Linked DNA regions of Arabidopsis thaliana. The protein of the gene in region 1 interacts with the protein of each later gene in a pairwise test. Each region holds a gene or a part of one and is shown in the gene's direction. Other genes may lie near its edges. The genes, in order: YAB2, NDL1 and RVE1.

Region 1 (6,829 bases):
TGCTAGGGATGCTGATTGTCTAGTTTGTGAGGGGATTTGAATGTCATGGACTGACGGATAACCACTATTTACTGTCGGATCTGCAGTTTGATCCAAACGGGAGACAAAGCCTGACAATGAATGGATACAGAAGGATTGGGCAGATAATGAGGGGAGTTGCAGAGGAGCACAGCCATGGAAGGTTGCTTATGGTGCAAGAAGGCGGGTATCATGTAACATATGCAGCTTACTGCCTCCACGCCATGCTCGAAGGGGTGCTGAAGATTCCAGAACCGCATCTATCTGATCCGATCGCTTATTATCCCGAAGAAGAAGCTAATGCTGTTGCTGCTGTGGAGTCAATCAAAACATATCACACCGAATTTGTTCCATTTCTCAGAGGAACTTGAAAATGGGACGTATGAATGAGTTTATGTTATTCCTCGTTGTCTTGTGACCTTTTGGAACACAGATCCAAATCAATCAGGTCAAACCGTATATATCAAAATACTTGTTGATCAAACTATCTTTTGTATGAAAACTTATTCACACGATCCGACTTTGTTTTTTGAGTTTTTTTTTAACAACTAGTTAGGTTTAGACTAGAAGAACCCAAATTTTTTGTGACAGAATAATAATTTTGCAGAAAGAGATTTTATAAATATATTCCAGATACAATCAAATCAAGCTTGGAAATAAGATTGGCATTGTCGTGAGTATCACTGTAGAGAGAATAGCTCGCGGGTCCGTAAAAAATGCATGTCAACCTCGATCGTGGAAATATGTCAGGATAAGATCTGTATTCTCGTCTCTATGATTTGTTCGAAAGAAACTTGTTTATATGAATCATTTTGTAAGAAATGTTTGTTGCATTGATTCCAAATACTTTAGATGTGTTCAATTAGTTTATTCGCTTTATTTTTTATTTTATTTTTGGTAAAAGGTTAATAAAGACAAAATAGGAAATTGCATTGCAAATACAAATACAAATACAAAACAATGAAACATCTATATTATGAAATAAATTATTAAAAATTAAACCAGTAATAAATGTCGTTTTGTTGATCCACACTCAATCTAAAATGTACATCTATGTTCACTTGCAGAATGAATGGGATTTTAATGAACTTTAAAAACTCAATTTCAAGTAATTACACCAATCCAATGAACATGTTTAAGTTTGCAGAAAATGCCAAAATGAATTCATCTTTCGTTTTATACTGTTAATCACTTATTCACAAAATAGACCATCATTGTCACTTGCAATATGTTTTATTTGATTCTGAAGAGGATTATGTATCGTTTTCAATTGTCCCTGAATTCACAAACTGTATCGTTTTACTAAATTTACTGTTGCTGCTAACAAAGTCCATGTATCGTTTTCAGATATGTGTTTGAAAAAACAAAATTTAATCGAACTGTTAATCTCATTTCTTATCTGCTAGACAAATACAATACACATTCTCATGATCTAGTACTATTCATTGTAAAATGACTGTAACAATAAGATTATATATTGAGCTACTAGCCTACTACTTATCCTATAAAAATGTAATTGAAATTAACTTATTTGGTGATAGGACTATATATCTTAACTAAAGATGAAAAAACAATAAAAATAACAAAGGGAAATCTTCACTTTATTATGGAGTAATAGAACTCTCTAATTATCTAAGGAAAAAAAAATGCAAGTACCGAAAAATAAAAAAGAGGAACATTGTAGTATAGTCCCCACTTGTCTCTCTTCGTCTCCAAATAAACCACATTAGTCTTTTCAGATTTTTTGTACACTTCCTTCATCCCCCACCCATCTCTCTCTCTCTCTCTCATCCTTCCTCTTTCTTCTTTGCTTGCCCTTTTCTTTTTATTTTATTCTTCCAAAATCAAATAGTTCCTTCTTTGATCTCATTGGGATAACTAAAAGTTTCAAGAAGAGAAACATATCATTGAAGAGAGAACCCACACAAAAAAAAATGTCTGTAGATTTCTCATCTGAGCGTGTTTGCTATGTCCACTGCAGCTTCTGCACCACGATTTTAGCGGTAATCTCCCTCTCCTCTTTATATTGTAAATCTTTCTCAAAAGAAAGAGTGTTAATTTGGTACTTACTCTGAGCTAGATCCCCTTTTCTCTAACTTAAATCAAACTGTTATATAAGATATATATTATTTACCTATCAAAGATGGTTGGTGATATATCTATATGTGTATTGCATGATGAATTTTGCATCTAGTTCATAGATCAACATATATCTTTTCTGTGATTAATTATTGATGAAGATATATATACCGGAAAGTTTCTTAAATTTCAGAAACCCTAAATCTTATTCCTTTTTTTTCTTCTATAACGCGTGATGAGATACCTAAAAGAAGCAAAAGAAGTTCGGTAGTTGAAACATAAATTTTAGTGCTCAAACAAAGTAAACTCAAAGGAAACAGCTCCTGATCAGATTTAGGGCTCTATGAGTAGGTTTTAAGTCTACAAAGATAACTTCTTCTTTCCCTATTTTTACTATTTAAAGAATTTTTATTTTTATTTTCGTTTTAAGGACATTTTTTCTTCTTCTCTTTACAAGTAAATCCTTCATTTTTTACTCTTGTATATTCATATTTTCTTTGGTGTTAGTTCCCTAAGTTTCAACAGCCATTAATATTTTCTGTAAAAGGAATTTGGTAGATAGCATCCATGTGATGCAGTCTCAAAATTAAACTTTCACTAGGGTCTTCCACCTTTATAGTCTGACTTCATACTATCTAATCTTTTGATATGTATAACTGTAGTATGTGACACATGTATTATACTTATATCATATCAATCATAGATCTTTCATCTACAAGCGTGGTCCATGTAAAAATGTTTACATCACATCACCAGCTGATTATTTTAAAATCATTTTTTGGGTTCTCCAAAATTCTCTTTTTATGTTTCTCACAGTGTGCTGAAGCTATTTTATTACATGTATATGATTTTAAAATTTACTTAAAACTTCACTAATTATCTCCAGCTTTATCTAACGGTTTTATGTGACATTTAATAATATCCACAGTTCTTCCGTACATTTTTGATATGTGTGTATCAGTGATATACGTCTATCTATATGTGTGTGTATATAAATTATTGATCTATGATCCATATAATTAAGTAATCATGAGAAACTAACTAGCTAGGTTATGTAGCTTAATGGTTTAGCGTTTAGACAAATTAAAAAAAAAAAAGTTTATCATGAGAAACTCTTGTACACTGATATTATTCATAAACGTTATACTACATATACATAAATAATGGAGATGTCGCACGAGTCTGATTAGGAACAAAAAGGGCCATATTTAATAAAAATGTTAGAGGTCTTCTTGCACAAAATAGGGTGTGTATTGTAGTGGAAAGTACAAAAGATTTGTTCTACCCAGTTCCAGCAACAATTTCTTGATCTATACAAAAGCTGCAAACTGTTAAATCATGGCCGATCTTGACCACTTAGGATTGGATCCTTTCTCTCTCTCTCTCTCTCTCGCTCACACACAAAAATATAAGACGATTATAATAAAAAGATGGTACCATCACATATGAAGGACTTTATGGGCTGTTGTTAAGGTCACGTCGTTTTCTAACATGACTGTCTTCTCCTTACAAGCTTCATCAACCATTCTTCATCTCTTTACTATCTTTTATCATGTTGCCTTGAGGTCTTGTGTGTCAGACATAGAATTCATCAGAACCCACCAAACAGAAAAATACATATTCTTTTATATATGTTAAATTTGATCATTTGTTTGTTCGAATATTAGTTGTGGTAATACTTCTATAAGGTTACTATTTTCTATTTCATGTGATAAAAATCTATAGGACTATCTTTACATAGGAAATAGGAAATCTACAATTAACCAAAAACAAGGTGTGCTATAGCCTATAATGGAGTAGTACTTAACATTCTCTCTCAAGAGCTCTCGTTACATTAGAGACCAGCCACTCGAATTATAAAATAGTGATAAAACAAGACAATTAACGTGTCCCTTATAATGATCAAGACATGTATGAATGATTAGGTAAGTGTACCATACGCAAGTTTGTTCACACTTGTGACGGTGAGATGTGGCCATTGTACCAATTTGCTATCCCTCAACATTGGAGTTTCACTTCATCAAACCTCAGCTCCTCCCATTCACCAAGATCTTCAGGTATCATATTATATTCATTAGTCCTTCAACATTTTTATTATTCCCATTTAGAAATCTGGCTTATATAGTTTTTGAAATCATGAAGCCTCATAGACAGCACACAACCTCTCTGGTGACAAGGAAAGATTGTGCATCGTCTTCTAGGAGCACCAACAATTTATCGGAAAACATTGATCGTGAGGCTCCTAGAATGCCTCCTATTCGCCGTATGTCTCTCTATTTACCTCTTGCATTCCGTACATAGTATTTAAAGTTTGTGTAATATATGCAATCACCAAGCTAAGTGAGTCCATAATTTTCTTTTATTTTCATGTGGCAGCACCGGAGAAAAGACAACGTGTTCCTTCGGCCTACAACAGATTCATCAAGTAAGTGTTAATCCTTTGATGAAATATACTAATTAACTCTTTCGCTACAACTTTAATAAACTAAATTGTTAATTAGGGAGGAAATCCAAAGGATTAAGGCTTGCAATCCAGAGATTAGCCACCGTGAGGCATTTAGCACTGCTGCTAAAAATGTAAGCTTCCTTCTTTACCATTCTTTTTCACAAGGTAGATTGTTGCTAAGATAGCTCAAAAAAAAAAAAAATCCTTATCGTAGCTTCATCGACGATGTCAGAATTATATAGAATTAGGAAGAAGATGCAAAAAAAAATGAAAAAAAAAAATAACTAAAGTTATAAAGTCTTTTAATACTGTATTTTTAGATTCAATAACTCTGTAAAATGTATTTCTTAACTATTTAAAAAATAAAATAAATTATTATCTTTTTAAATAACCTAACAAGTAAATAAATAAAAAATGATATACGAACACATGATTGGATAGTAGTTTTTTTTGTTTGCAATAATTAGTACCAACTAATTGAAATAACTGTGGTGGGAGAATTCTAGGGCTTGGTCACTCTCTTTGAAAATATAAGTGTGTATGTATACCAATAAGATAGTGGTTCTACTATTTATAATTGGTGGAATGTTTATATATCACAGTATTAGATGTTTTTTAAAAATAAATTTGCCTTTCAATTTTTGGGTGTAGTGGGCACATTTTCCTCACATTCACTTTGGATTAAAGCTGGATGGCAACAAGAAAGGCAAGCAATTAGACCAGTCAGTTGCAGGCCAAAAGTCTAATGGCTATTACTAAAGCCTTTATATATATACACACATATATACACTTATACGTATATATATGTGTATAGATATATATGCGTGTGTATGATTTATGTTTATCTTTGTACGTACGCATTAATGAATGTGTAAGCAGAGAGCTGATGATGGAAAGAGATCAGGCGAGGAAGAAGAAGATCATATAACGTTACATATATATACATGTATGTATATATGTTCCTTTCTTTTTTCTTGCGTGTGCTTCATCTATAACTTCATTTCTAGTTTTATTCTCCTAATAAGTGAAGTCTATAAATTTGAACCTAAAATGTTTAGGAAGAATCTTCTTTCTGAAGATTGTAATATAAATTTCAACTTTACTCATTCTGAAAAGGTGTGGTCACGACTTTATATATATAATCCCTAGTTTTATGGTAATTATTGTTGATAATACCTGAGGTTAAAGGGGGATGTATGTGGAAATTGATTGATTCTTTATCAATTTCATGGATATATAGAGTTTGTGTATACATAGAAGCACATGTATATACATAGAGTGAGTAGTAAAAGATATATAAATTCCATCTTGGGATATAAAATGGTAACTTTTATGGTGCTGAGATAATTCTGAAACTCACTCATTCCAAAGAAACATTCTTTGCAAAAAGCAAAGGCTTCCAATGAATAGTTCACTTGGGTTGTTTTTAATACTTTTTTTTTAATCAATGAGAAATCAATGCTCGTGTCTTCTCTTGTCAGCCACAAAACTCATAATCCGGTTGAGTATCATGATTAATAATATGTCACACTTTTATGCTGCTGATCGGCTCACTATTTCAAAGAAAATCATAAGCAGCGTGAAACGGGACGGTCTAGTTTTGGTCGATACCGTTTTACATCAATGATGCGAATTTGACAAAAATATAATTTTTTCTCGACGGTAGGCACATTTTTATGGGGGAAAAATGGTACATAATGAGCTATTATTTGTCTATGATATATAACTACCAGTTCGGTCGTGTATTAATTTGCAGTGATCGTTATCAAGATTCGAATCGAAACCATGGGTTGTTTTAATAACATGGGCGATTTGACTTTGTCAACGCATACTCGTTTTGTGAAACTTTTGTAGTATGTGGTCTACATAAACCATGCATTCTCTTAAAAGATAAAATATTATCGTATATGAACTCTTTTAAGTGACTACTGAATATTATAAGAAAAACGTTGTCTCTTTTGATTAAATGTAATGCAGAATAGCAATTATAAAAGTAATGCTATAGATATTTTGTTGTATAGCTGTGGTCAACTTTTGCTAAAAGAATGCCACTTTGGAAAAAATGACTCAAGCATTTAGACCAAATAGCAATCACTATAGTTTTCACGTCAACATCAAATTTCTATTCAGTATTACGTACTAATTATAACTTCATTTTCTATTTGTCCAAAATGGACACTAACTCCGCAGCTGGTGGCTATGTTTAATGATAAGCATCTCGTAGAGATCGTATATCCACCACTCCCGACGAAGGGTTAGAGAAGTGGGGTCGTCTCCAATGTGTGA
Region 2 (6,218 bases), on another chromosome or scaffold:
AAATCGGAGCTGGGAAAGTGGTAATCGCGAGTAAAGGAAAACAAACAAGAAGAAGAAATGACTCACCGGCGGGAGAAAATCCGACACGGCGACGCTTCTTAGGCTCGGTACCCGGACCGGCGGAGGCTTGCTGCTTCTGAACCATGGAGTCCCCGGCGAGTGCAAGGCGGGAAGAGAGTGAGACAAAGGCGGGAAAATTGGAGGGTTAATGGAAATGCGGAGAGAGCGATACACAAGAGAGTCAGTAAGCTTGTGGCTCTCTTTATGTAATTTTTACTGAGATCAATAGCAGATGGAGAAATACACACCACATATGACTTAGCAAGGCCTGTTAACGGCCCAAATGCAAGACCAATTCAAGTTTGTATTATTAGGTATTATTTATCTAATTAACGAAATATCAAATGAGGGCGTTTGGTCTAGTGGTATGATTCTCGCTTTGGGTGCGAGAGGTCCCGAGTTCGATTCTCGGAACGCCCCATTTGTATTTTTTATGTTCACACTCTTTTTGCCACTCTTTTTGCCAAATAGTCCATTTTTCCCAAAAGATCCATAACTTTAAGAACATGTAATCATTAACCAAAGTTAGTTATTCTTGGTGAATCTAGTTGACTTTGGGAGAGGAGAAAGAACCGATTTTAGTTATTCTTCCCCATTATTGAAGTCTAGTTCTCGGCCAAATATTCAACAACAAAAAATTGACTATTGTGAAAATTAGGCTTGTTTTGAAATAGGTCTAACTTAAGATATTAACCATAAATTCGGTTATTGTATTGTTGTTTGGTACAATGTAAACCGGTTACTAAACCGGAACACTCTACATATAAAGAGTGTTTCATGTAACAGAACAATTAAGAAGAATAACAAATTTTTCTCATCTTCTTCATTTCTCTGAATTCGTTCATCAACTATTATGGTATCAGAGTGATGGATCTCGAAGATTCATCCGATTCAACCTAAACTCTGAGTATCTTCGAGCTCTTGGATCTTCCAAACTCGTTGATTCTTTGTTTCTTCAATTTTCTACGTTTTCTGGAAAATTTCAGTTGTTTAGAGCTTCGTTGATCTTGCGATGGTTTCCGTAGAGAAATTGCGGCGTCGTACTAGAAGATCGAGCAAAACTTCAGCTGAGAAAACTCCAGATCGTGTTCAAGCTTCACCGATTCCACCGATTCCACCAATTTCGAATCCGTTTCAACAAAATTTCAATTCAAAACCATCGATCTATCCTTTACCACAGTTCGACTTCTCGGATGCTCATTATTCGCCATTCGCGCTCTCAAATGGTGAGTCCTGGGAATACACTTGTTTCTGAGGTACTTGATGGATCTAATTTCTCTTCTTGGAAGATTGCGATGTTTGTTTCTTTGAACGTTAAGAATAAGATTGCTTTTGTTGATGGAACTTTACCAAGACCTCCTGAATCTGATCCTAGCTTTAGAGTGTGGTCACGATGCAACAGTATGGTTAAATCTAGGATCCTTAATTCTGTTACAAAGCAGATCTATAAGAGTATACTTCGTTTCAATGATGCTGCAGAGATCTGGAAAGACTTGGATACTAGATTTCACATTACGAATTTGCCAAGGTCTTATCAGCTAACTCAGCAGATTTGGTCACTTCAAAGTTTTGCTTTCAATGATATCTCTTTCTCACCTTCGACTTTATGGTTACTATGTTCTCTAACGTCCTCTAGACAAGTGTTATCACAAAATACATGGATCATAGATAGTGGTGTTACTCATCATGTTTCTTATGATAGGAATATGTTTGAAAGCCTATCTGATGGTTTAAGATTAGTCCATTTCTAATTTTCTACTAAGATATATTTTTTCCAACTCAAAGTGAAAAAATTGCGAATAGTATAAATATACAATTGTTTATTAAATATTGATGTTCTTAATATTATTACATAAAAATAATTTTTTATATGTAATAGTATTTTTAGAAAATTTGGTTTCTCTTTTTTTTTTTAATAATAAAACTAAACAGTCTCTAAAAATTTATATTCGGTTTGCTTAATGTTAATTTTGTTGTTAACCAAAACTTCGCACCTCCCTTACTTATCCAATTATCAACATTTAATATTTGTTTACATTTATACAATTATCCAATTTATTTACAGCAATTTTTCCGAATTAGTATTCGACTGTTATTGGTGAAATTCGAGCTGGTTAATAATATTTATCAAAAATAAGTTTCTATAAATAAATCAAATTAAAAATGTTTCTTATTTTAAGTTTTTTGACCGTTCGCGTGTCATGTTACGACTACCGGCGTCTATGGAGAAATCACCGCAAAATTTATAGAGAGAGTAAAACGAAAGAGAAGAAAAAAAGGAAAACGAAAAAAAAACGTTTCTTTTTCCAGAGAGGTCTTAAGAGAGAGGAGAGAGAAAAGGCATCGCTTTGTATATAAGCTAAAGAAAAGCCAAAAAACAATCTAGAGGTTGGGAGAAGAAGAAGAAGAAAAGAGAAGAAGCTCTTGTTATCCCGGCGTTCTTAAAACAACGACGGCGACGGTGACGGCTAAGCGGAAGAGCTTTTGTTGCCAATGACGGACTCTTACGGCGCCGTCTCCGTCGACGTTGGAACAATCTATCTTGGTGGCAAGGTTTCATTCTTTAACCTTTGAACTCGGATCCGAATAAAGCTTTGATTTTTGTTTCTGGGTTTATCTTAAACTTGCTTAAATCTAATCTTTCTGTTGATTTGGGGAAGAACAGACATGTGGGCATTGTTAGATTCATTTGTTTTTGTAAAAAAAAGACTCATCTTTTGTTTGAATCAAATGTTCTTGGAGAAATTCTTTGCTTGTGGATTTGTGAAACTTCTTTTATTATTATGATTCATTTCCAGATGGGATTATTCTTGGGATCTTCTTCTTCTCTCTATTCAAAGATATCTTCTTCTTATTATTATTTTGTATTCCTTATTCTTTGTCTTATTGCCTTTTGATTTTTTTATCTTATAGAAAAAAGAAAAGAAAATGCCAGCTGTTTTTGTCTACCATTAACCTTTTGTTTAATAAGACTAATGCTTCTTTATTATCTCATTAAGACTCATATTAGCTCATCTTTTTTAAACTGTCATTCCCTTTTTATTAAAAAAAAACCACAATGATTAGAATTAGGCCATTTCTCTTTGGTTGTTGATGATCAAGTTTTTGGTTTTGTTTTTTTGCCCTTAAAAGTAGTAAAGCTGCACATGGAAAAGCTTTAACAGAGATGTTTTCTTTTTTGTGTGTGTGTTAATCAAAGCATTTCTTTTCCACCTAAAGTCAGTTGTCATATTCCTATCTTTAGTATACATTTACTAACGAGAAAATAGATTCATTGTTTACAAACACATGTTTTATGAATATGGAGTAGACAAATGGTATGGTTAAAAGTTTAGTTTTTTTCTGTTGGTTTCATGATCCGTTACTTTTGTTATAACTTGTTGGTTTCTTGTGTTCAGGAGCATCGTGTTAAAACTGCTAGTGGTGTTGTGTCTGTCATTGTCTATGGAGACAGAGAAAAGCCAGCATTGATTACTTATCCTGATTTAGCCCTAAACCGTAAGGCTAAAGAATCTCTATAGGCACTAATGTAATGGCTAAATTTATTAATGTTTTTGTTGTTTCTTCTTCAGATATGTCATGCTTCCAAGGGTTATTCTTCTGTCCTGAAGCAGCTTCATTGCTGCTTCATAACTTCTGCATTTACCATATCAGTCCACCTGGGCATGAGGTCCAATATTTTAGTTTCTCTTTTTTTAACTTGCCGTATGCTTTGCTTGACGTGATTACTTACTCACATGACTTCTCTGTTTTCTTGCAGTTAGGAGCTGCTCCAATTTGTCCTAATGATTCAGTCCCTTCTGCTGAAAACTTGGCAGATCAGATCCTTGAAGTTCTCAACTTTTTCGGGTAACGATGGAATCCCTTATTTTTGGCTTATTGAAGTTCTCAACTTTTGTTTTTCGGGTAACAATGTATAAGCTTTTTGTTCAGCCTTGGTGTTGTGATGTGTATGGGAGTGACTGCAGGTGCTTATATCCTCACCTTATTCGCGGTATGTTCCTATTTATTTTTCTCTTCTCATTGCCCATTGCTTCAGAAGAATACTGTGTTTATCATCTCTTCTATGTTTTAAAACTTTTCAGATGAAACATAGAGAACGGGTTCTTGGTTTGATTCTTGTCTCACCGTTATGCAAGGCGCCGTCTTGGTCTGAATGGTTTTACAACAAGGTTATCACAAACTTGTTATATTATTACGGAATGTGTGGAGTGGTAAAGGAATTTTTGCTTCAGAGATATTTTAGTAAGGTGTGTTCACTGCAGTTACCATTGCTCTCTCTCTGCACTTGTTGCATTTCCAGACTTCTCTTATTTAAACCGGTTGCAACTGCTTGCTACAGGAAGTCCGTGGTAACGTTGAGATTCCAGAGTCAGATATAGCACAAGCTTGCAGAAGAGTCAGTGTTTATCTCTTCTGTTGTTTTTCTGTTTCATCAATAGATTGATTTTACTGTATCAGTGATTCACACCTTGCACTTTTGGTGATTGTCTCAGCTGCTTGATGAAAGACAAGGCATAAACGTTTTGCGATTTCTTGACGCCATTGACCGGTAACACAACAAACACCTCGAAATCCTTTACCTTAGAAGCATTCATTCATTCATGGTGTCAAATATTGACTTTTCTTTAACTTTATGCAAACCAAACCTTTGCTCTTGCAGGAGACCTGACATCTCAAGTGGATTGAAGAAACTAAAATGCAGGACACTTATCTTCATCGGAGATCAATCTCCTTTCTACTCAGAAGCTGTTCACATGGCAGCAACTTTGGATAGAGGATACTGTGCTTTGGTTGAGGTTTGAGAAAACGAATCCTCATCCTTTGTACTTTACATATAAACACATGTTTGGTTTTCTTGCTACTAATAGATGTTTTCTTGGAAATATTATCAGGTTCAGGCTTGTGGTTCAATGGTAACAGAGGAGCAACCACATGCAATGTTGATCCCAATGGAATATTTCTTGATGGGTTACGGATTATACAGACCATCTCTTTTCTCCGAGAGCCCTAGAAGTCCACTTAGCCCTTCTTGTATTTCACCTGAGCTTCTCTCTCCTGAAAGCATGGGATTAAAGCTTAAGCCTATCAAAACCAGAATTTCGGCGGCTTAAGTGTGTGTGCACTACTGATTCATTGGTTCTAATTTTGCTGAGGAGAAGAAATCTTAGGGCTTTTGTAGATATAGAACAATACTAGGGAGATTTGAGAAGAAGAAGACGAAGAAGAAAAATTCAAGCCACCATCATATAACACATTCTTTTGTAGTCAGCCGACACGACAGTTCTCTTGTTAAGATGCCACAAAATGTTGTTTATTATTTCATTTTTTTATACATATGTAAAATGTTCTGTTCTTGTGACATTGTAACAATTGTTTTGTGACGAACTCTGCAGAAGCAAGTAATAAAATTCATTTTGCATTTTGTTTTTGGTTCTCTAATTGGCCTTACAAGCACATTGATTTCACCAAGTTAGAATCTGGTTTTTGCTTAATATTGATATTTAATGGTTTAACAGTCTTGATCCTGAACTATTTGGATCATCAGATTGAAACTTTTTAGTCTGAATTGAATTGTAAATGGAAATGGAGACCAATCCTTCTTTGCAGAAGCCGTAAGTTATATACTGATATAAGATACGCATAAGGATTAGTTGCGGTTGACGAAAACATAGTCCCTCATGAACCGGGGTAAAGGCGAAGAATGCTTCACTTAGTCTGAACAAGTTCAATGCTCCTCGATGTTTGTCAAGCCCGTAAAATGGATGCAGACAAGTGTAAATCCGAGCCAAACCCGAATACAAAGTAGAAGAAGTGTATAAACTCTTGGATAACTAATGATTGAATAATAACATCAAATTAAGGCCATTTCTTGTATTGAACATCGTAAGATGTTTTGTAAATTACAAATACAACAAAGCTCACTTACCTCAGCACCTCTCTATAAGCGAATGGTCAGAAAGTTTTTCACTTTCAAAACCACAGAAACAATTATAACAACAACTTTATATGATGTAATCTGACCATTCCGAGATGAATGAAGTATGATCCATCGATTCTCCAGGACATTCCTCATCATGAATCGTTGGCTTCTCTTTCCCTCCGACAAGTCTCGCCGGATTCCCAACCGCAGTACCTCGACAAGGCACGTCAATCAG
Region 3 (5,522 bases), on another chromosome or scaffold:
CCTGAATTGTTATCTGTTATTTTATCTTTTTCACGTCTTACGCCTCCTAAATCCTAATCGCTTAAATATTTTTTGAACATGTTCTCATCTGTTTTTAAAAAATTTGGATTTTCTTTTCACTAATGATTGTTACATTAGATAAATGTGATTTCCACTACAGGTTTGGATTTTATTGCATTAGAAAATATGGTAATAACAAATATTTTTATAAGAGATGACAAAAACAAATACTCTAAGTAGACAACAGCCACACACCAACCACTTTCTGATATTTGAAACCCTAAGTAAAGAACGAGAAGGAATTCTTGTGGCTGAGAAATTTTGTTGTATTATCAGTGAACGTGAATAAAATGAATAAGAAACAAATAAAAAGAAAACTAGTGGCTAGAACCCTCCTTCTCGTCATTCCACATGTCAAGTTTCTGTAGAACAGACGGCTAAAATAAGAATCAGTGACATGGAGAAAAGTGCACTGACATTCACTAATTATTAGTATTAGTACTATATTATAAATTAAAGTGTAATTACTTTCACTTCCACCGAGGATGACTTTTACAATTTGAGGAGTATATTAAATTATGTGCTTAACAATGATTTCAATAAAATATCTACACATTTGTGAAAATTGATGACGACCTGGACGATGGATAATCATATTAATTCGAGAAAGTTGAAACTAATTATAAATATCATAGATAGATTCGTATCTGTATATATTATATTATATGGTATGTATACGTAGACTTACGTTATGGATAGACCCCCACCATGTTTTTATATAGAGGCAGAAGATATTTAACTTATGGTTTTCGTTTTTTCGTAAAATATGAAACAAAGACAACGACAAAACGAAAAAGAACCAAAAATAGTATCTCATTCTACTTTCACTTGATTTTGGAATTTCATTTATTTAGATTGTGATTCAAAACCATTTCAACTATGTAAAATTCTGTGCAATATTTTTCCCAACTAAACATATAAGTTTGACATGAAAAAGAATATAGGAAAATTTAGAGGTCCAAATTTTATATGTATATCGGAATCATGGTAGGATACGTTATCAATTGCATTTGTATGAGGCTTGCTATTGCTAGTATAGAAGCATCATCAACAAATCTTAATATCAGTCCAAATTTGAATAACCCATTTTGTGGATCTCATTTCATAAAATAAACCATTTTAGTGTCCTGCAAAAATGTGTTTAGACAGAAATCTTTTTTAAAATCTGAATTTAGATATTATGATGGTTATAATTTATATATAAATTTACTATCAAATATTGTGTTCATATATGGAAGAATGGAGAAAAAAGAGTAGAACCCCACAAAATAAAAAATGGATAGACTATGTTTTCTAAGATTGGACAAAGTGTATAATAAAATCTTCTGATCTGGTCCAAAAATAAAATGTTAAGAGTTTTCGAATTCGAATAATTTGATTTTGATTAAGATATCCACTTCGGATATGTTTTCATATGTAGCTTTTTAAAATACCCTAATAAATATTTTCATAAAGAGTTTATGTAAATAAATCAAAATATATTTTTAACTTTTTATTTATTATAGTTTTATATATTACTGTTTTAATTATTTTGAAGTATTTTTGATAGATATGGATTTGGATGGTTCCGCAAACAAATCCTATGGATCCGGATCCAAAGAACCAATCATAAATTTTGGAATATGTCCACCCATATATGGATCAATAGAGATATAGTTAAGAAAAGAAAATGAATTTATCCCGCAAATTTACATTTTTATCTCATGTAGTGGAACCAATGAAAAGCGAGTAAGCTAAGAAGTCATACTCTCGAGAGTACGCCTTTCCATATTTTCCTTTAAAAGTATCTTCTGGTGGCTCACATTTCTCCGTCCAGCAAAATCTTTTTTGTTACATAAATATTATATTTCCTGATATTTTATATTAAAAGATTATCCAATTGAAATGATGTCAAAAAAGGAAAGGAAAAGTAGGGGAATTAAATAAATACATACAGTGATAATCGAAGTACCAAATCTAACTGTTTTAAAACAAGTAGATTCATTTTAAAAAATTAAATATTTGATTTTTCAAAGAGATAAATGAATAAATCTAGTACAAATTTTGTTGCAAAAAAAGAAGATGAAGAATATGAGAAAGAGCGACACGTGGCAAAGATGGACATTGAACGTGAGCCACAAGATTTTCCATCTGTTTCTCGAGCGTTCCATGGAAAACCAATAAGAATTATTATTTTTATTTTTTAAAAATTGGGAAAAAGCGCACATAGCAGAAGCTGACGTGGCATCACCCTCCTTTTTGTCTTCCCTATTTTCTCACCCCCCTAATTCCCTTCTTCCTCCTTCACAGACCCCAAACTCTTCTCTTCTTCTTCTTTCTCTCTGTTTTCTTCTTCTTCCGCCGAATCAGAAAGCTTGTCTTTTTCTTTACTCCGGCTACCAAAACTTCTCGGAGTTTCTCTGAGAGTTTCATTTCCGACCTTCTTCTTATCCTTATTTGCGGCAAGATTTCCAGCGAGAGTTTTTTTCTCTTTTCCTTTATCGAACATAAGAAATCTCTGGTTTGCTGGAAGTTTTTTTTCCGGAAGGTGGAAGCTTAGATTGGTTCTGATTTCAGAAGCAAATCGTTTGTTGTTGCCTAAGTAAACCGAATCAATTTATGGGATCTATAGAAACAGACGGAGAACAGAGGAAATTAAGCTGATTTTTTCAAGTCTAGATTCGCGAATTTATCTTGGTGTTTCCTTTTCTGTGTTCCACACCTTTCGAGTTTTTTTTTGTTTTCCTCCGCCGAGATCTTAATCCGGGAAGTTATGGCGTCGTCTCCGTTGACTGCAAATGTTCAGGTCTGGTCTCAAAATTTGATTTTTATCCACTTTTTTTGTTTTGTTTCTGCTTTATTCAGGTCTGGTCTCAAATGAATCTATGAGTTTAAAATACTGTATACGGACATTTAAGTAATAAAGCTTAGAGTTAAAGCAAGTTCGTTGCAATTCATTTGCAGACTCTTGTTTCTTTTGAGCTATAAGTTCTCTCTAGATTTGTGTGTTGCAACTACATTCATTTGAATCCTTGAGATGGAATCGACTGTGTTGGAATTTTGTGATTAGGATATGTAAATCGAGTTTAATTAGTTGGACTTTGTGAATGAATGTTCATTGAGAAACTGAAGAAGAAAGTAAATAATCCAATGCCACTTTGTGTCATAGTCCTTAAAATGATGTTTCCTAAAGTCGTTTTGCTTGATGATGGCTTTAGGGTACCAACGCTTCTTTGAGGAATAGAGATGAAGAAACTGCAGACAAGCAGATACAATTCAATGACCAAAGTTTTGGGGGAAATGACTATGCACCCAAGGTTTGTTTCTTTTAACATCAAATGTCAAATATTGTTATGTAAAGTGAAGATCTGTGGCTCAGTTCATCTTTTCTTACTTAGGTACGGAAGCCATACACGATAACAAAAGAGAGAGAGAGATGGACAGATGAAGAGCACAAGAAGTTTGTTGAAGCCTTGAAATTATACGGGCGAGCTTGGAGACGAATAGAAGGTAAATTAATGATTTAGTAATATCTCTTGCTACTGAGTTATGGCCTTACCTGGACCCTCAAAAATATATGTTTGTTTCACTAACAGAACATGTGGGCTCAAAGACCGCAGTTCAGATTCGAAGCCATGCTCAGAAGTTTTTCTCTAAGGTTTATACACTTATTTGCTATTATATCTTTACCCTTGTTCAAAGAAAGTATCAGTCTAATCTCTGTAGCAAACCTAAGTTCTGCATAAATAAGGAATCATTATACATACATTGTTTGGAGACTTGTGTTCTGACTTGGCTTTGTTCTGTTGTATTCACACAGGTTGCTCGAGAAGCAACTGGAGGTGATGGGAGCTCAGTAGAGCCGATTGTAATACCTCCTCCTCGTCCCAAGAGAAAGCCAGCGCATCCGTACCCTCGTAAGTTTGGGAACGAGGCAGATCAAACAAGTAGATCGGTTTCTCCCTCAGAACGTGATACTCAATCTCCAACCTCTGTGTTGTCCACTGTTGGATCAGAAGCATTGTGTTCCCTTGATTCGAGTTCACCCAATCGAAGCTTGTCCCCAGTTTCTTCTGCATCACCACCAGCTGCTCTTACAACCACTGCAAATGCACCTGAAGAGCTTGAGACTCTGGTACTTGACATAAACAAAACCGAATTTATACTTAACAGCAATACCTGCTGTTAGATGCTTAATGCTTAATATTCTTGGTTTAATCAATTTGTACAGAAGCTGGAGTTGTTTCCTAGTGAGAGACTCTTAAACAGGGAGAGCTCGATCAAGGAACCAACGAAGCAAAGTCTTAAACTCTTTGGGAAGACAGTTTTGGTATCTGATTCAGGCATGTCCTCTTCTCTAACAACTTCAACATATTGTAAATCCCCAATTCAGCCATTACCACGGAAACTCTCATCATCCAAGACACTACCCATAATAAGAAACTCACAAGAAGAACTCTTGAGCTGCTGGATACAAGTCCCTCTTAAGCAAGAAGATGTGGAAAATAGATGTTTGGATTCAGGAAAGGCTGTCCAAAACGAAGGATCATCGACTGGATCAAACACTGGTTCGGTGGATGATACGGGACACACGGAAAAGACCACAGAACCCGAAACAATGCTATGTCAATGGGAGTTTAAACCAAGTGAGAGGTCTGCATTTTCTGAGCTCAGAAGAACAAACTCCGAGTCAAATTCAAGAGGATTTGGTCCATACAAGAAGAGAAAGATGGTAACAGAAGAAGAAGAGCATGAGATTCATCTCCACTTATAACACATTTTCTTACGTACCCTAAAGAAGAGACTTTAAATTTACTATTCATTCGACTTTCTAAGTTTTCATCAATGTAATTTTTGTTGTTGTTTCATTGTTTTCTCTTGAGGTGTTTGTTCTCTAGGCTAAAATTTTCTGCAAAAGTTTGTAACTGTAAAACTCGTGTACAATTTATACAGTTAAATCTAATGATTATGAGATCTTTCTTAATTGATGGTTCAACAAAAGCAAGTTTCAGGTGTCTCTCTTCAATATCTCCGATTAAATTAGGTTTGGTAAAGAGTTTGCTTTGAAATGAAGGCAAAGAAGAAAAACAGTGAGGTTACCACCAACTGAACAAGTGTGTGTTCAAAGTTCAAACCCAACAAATAACCGAACCGATTCGGAAACCAACTCTAACCTGAAATTTTGATAGAATTTGACCAGACCAAATTAGACCGGTTAACACCCTTTCACGTTAGCCACCAACAGATTAAGCAGTGTCTAACGTACGCCTTATTAATACCACATAAAGACGCAAGAGAAGATGACGTCATACAGAAACAGCGTCGTTTTGAAAGCTGAGTTTTTTTTGTGAAGCGAGCGAGCGTGAGAAGGTGTGACGGGGAAGAGAATGGCGAAGGAAGCGGTCAAGTATGTATGGGAAGGAGCAATTCCTCTGCAGATTCATCTCCACAAATCCGACGTCGCTTCTCACCCTGCTCCTCCT

The links.
Region 2: the proteins of YAB2 (region 1) and NDL1 interact in a two-hybrid assay, tested with the Arabidopsis thaliana proteins (one large-scale study listed by BioGRID).
Region 3: the proteins of YAB2 (region 1) and RVE1 interact in a two-hybrid assay, tested with the Arabidopsis thaliana proteins (one large-scale study listed by BioGRID).

Annotation. Positions count from the first base shown.
Region 1 is NC_003070.9:2,674,081-2,680,909, forward strand, and holds YAB2 (Plant-specific transcription factor YABBY family protein), read left to right. Parts: upstream 1-1,732; 5' UTR 1,733-1,952; coding exon 1,953-2,021; intron 2,022-4,022; coding exon 4,023-4,154; intron 4,155-4,239; coding exon 4,240-4,360; intron 4,361-4,473; coding exon 4,474-4,522; intron 4,523-4,598; coding exon 4,599-4,674; intron 4,675-5,194; coding exon 5,195-5,302; 3' UTR 5,303-5,744; downstream 5,745-6,829. Other genes in the region: HDA08 (histone deacetylase 8), read left to right, coding at 87-389. UniProt on the Arabidopsis thaliana protein: Involved in the abaxial cell fate determination during embryogenesis and organogenesis.
Region 2 is NC_003076.8:22,955,433-22,961,650, forward strand, and holds NDL1 (N-MYC downregulated-like 1), read left to right. Parts: upstream 1-2,196; 5' UTR 2,197-2,553; coding exon 2,554-2,613; intron 2,614-3,076; exon of another isoform or gene 3,077-3,374; coding exon of another isoform or gene 3,375-3,377; intron 3,378-3,458; coding exon 3,459-3,558; intron 3,559-3,632; coding exon 3,633-3,730; intron 3,731-3,820; coding exon 3,821-3,909; intron 3,910-3,993; coding exon 3,994-4,054; intron 4,055-4,145; coding exon 4,146-4,310; intron 4,311-4,402; coding exon 4,403-4,459; intron 4,460-4,556; coding exon 4,557-4,612; intron 4,613-4,723; coding exon 4,724-4,859; intron 4,860-4,955; coding exon 4,956-5,174; 3' UTR 5,175-5,484; downstream 5,485-6,218. Other genes in the region: HAG2 (histone acetyltransferase of the GNAT family 2), read right to left, coding at 67-145; SERAT1;1 (serine acetyltransferase 1;1), read right to left, coding at 6,066-6,218. UniProt on the Arabidopsis thaliana protein: Interacts with the heterotrimeric G protein beta subunit GB1 and plays an significant role in GB1-dependent regulation of lateral root formation. Involved in a signaling pathway that modulates root auxin transport and auxin gradients.
Region 3 is NC_003076.8:5,689,726-5,695,247, reverse strand, and holds RVE1 (Homeodomain-like superfamily protein), read left to right. Parts: upstream 1-2,255; 5' UTR 2,256-2,323; coding exon of another isoform or gene 2,324-2,548; 5' UTR 2,549-2,812; coding exon 2,813-2,845; intron 2,846-3,257; coding exon 3,258-3,356; intron 3,357-3,437; coding exon 3,438-3,549; exon of another isoform or gene 3,550-3,616; coding exon of another isoform or gene 3,617-3,635; coding exon 3,636-3,697; intron 3,698-3,859; coding exon 3,860-4,174; intron 4,175-4,270; coding exon 4,271-4,813; 3' UTR 4,814-5,022; downstream 5,023-5,522. Other genes in the region: AT5G17305 (uncharacterized protein), read right to left, coding at 2,324-2,548; autophagy protein Apg5 family, read left to right, coding at 5,427-5,522. UniProt on the Arabidopsis thaliana protein: Morning-phased transcription factor integrating the circadian clock and auxin pathways. Binds to the evening element (EE) of promoters. Does not act within the central clock, but regulates free auxin levels in a time-of-day specific manner.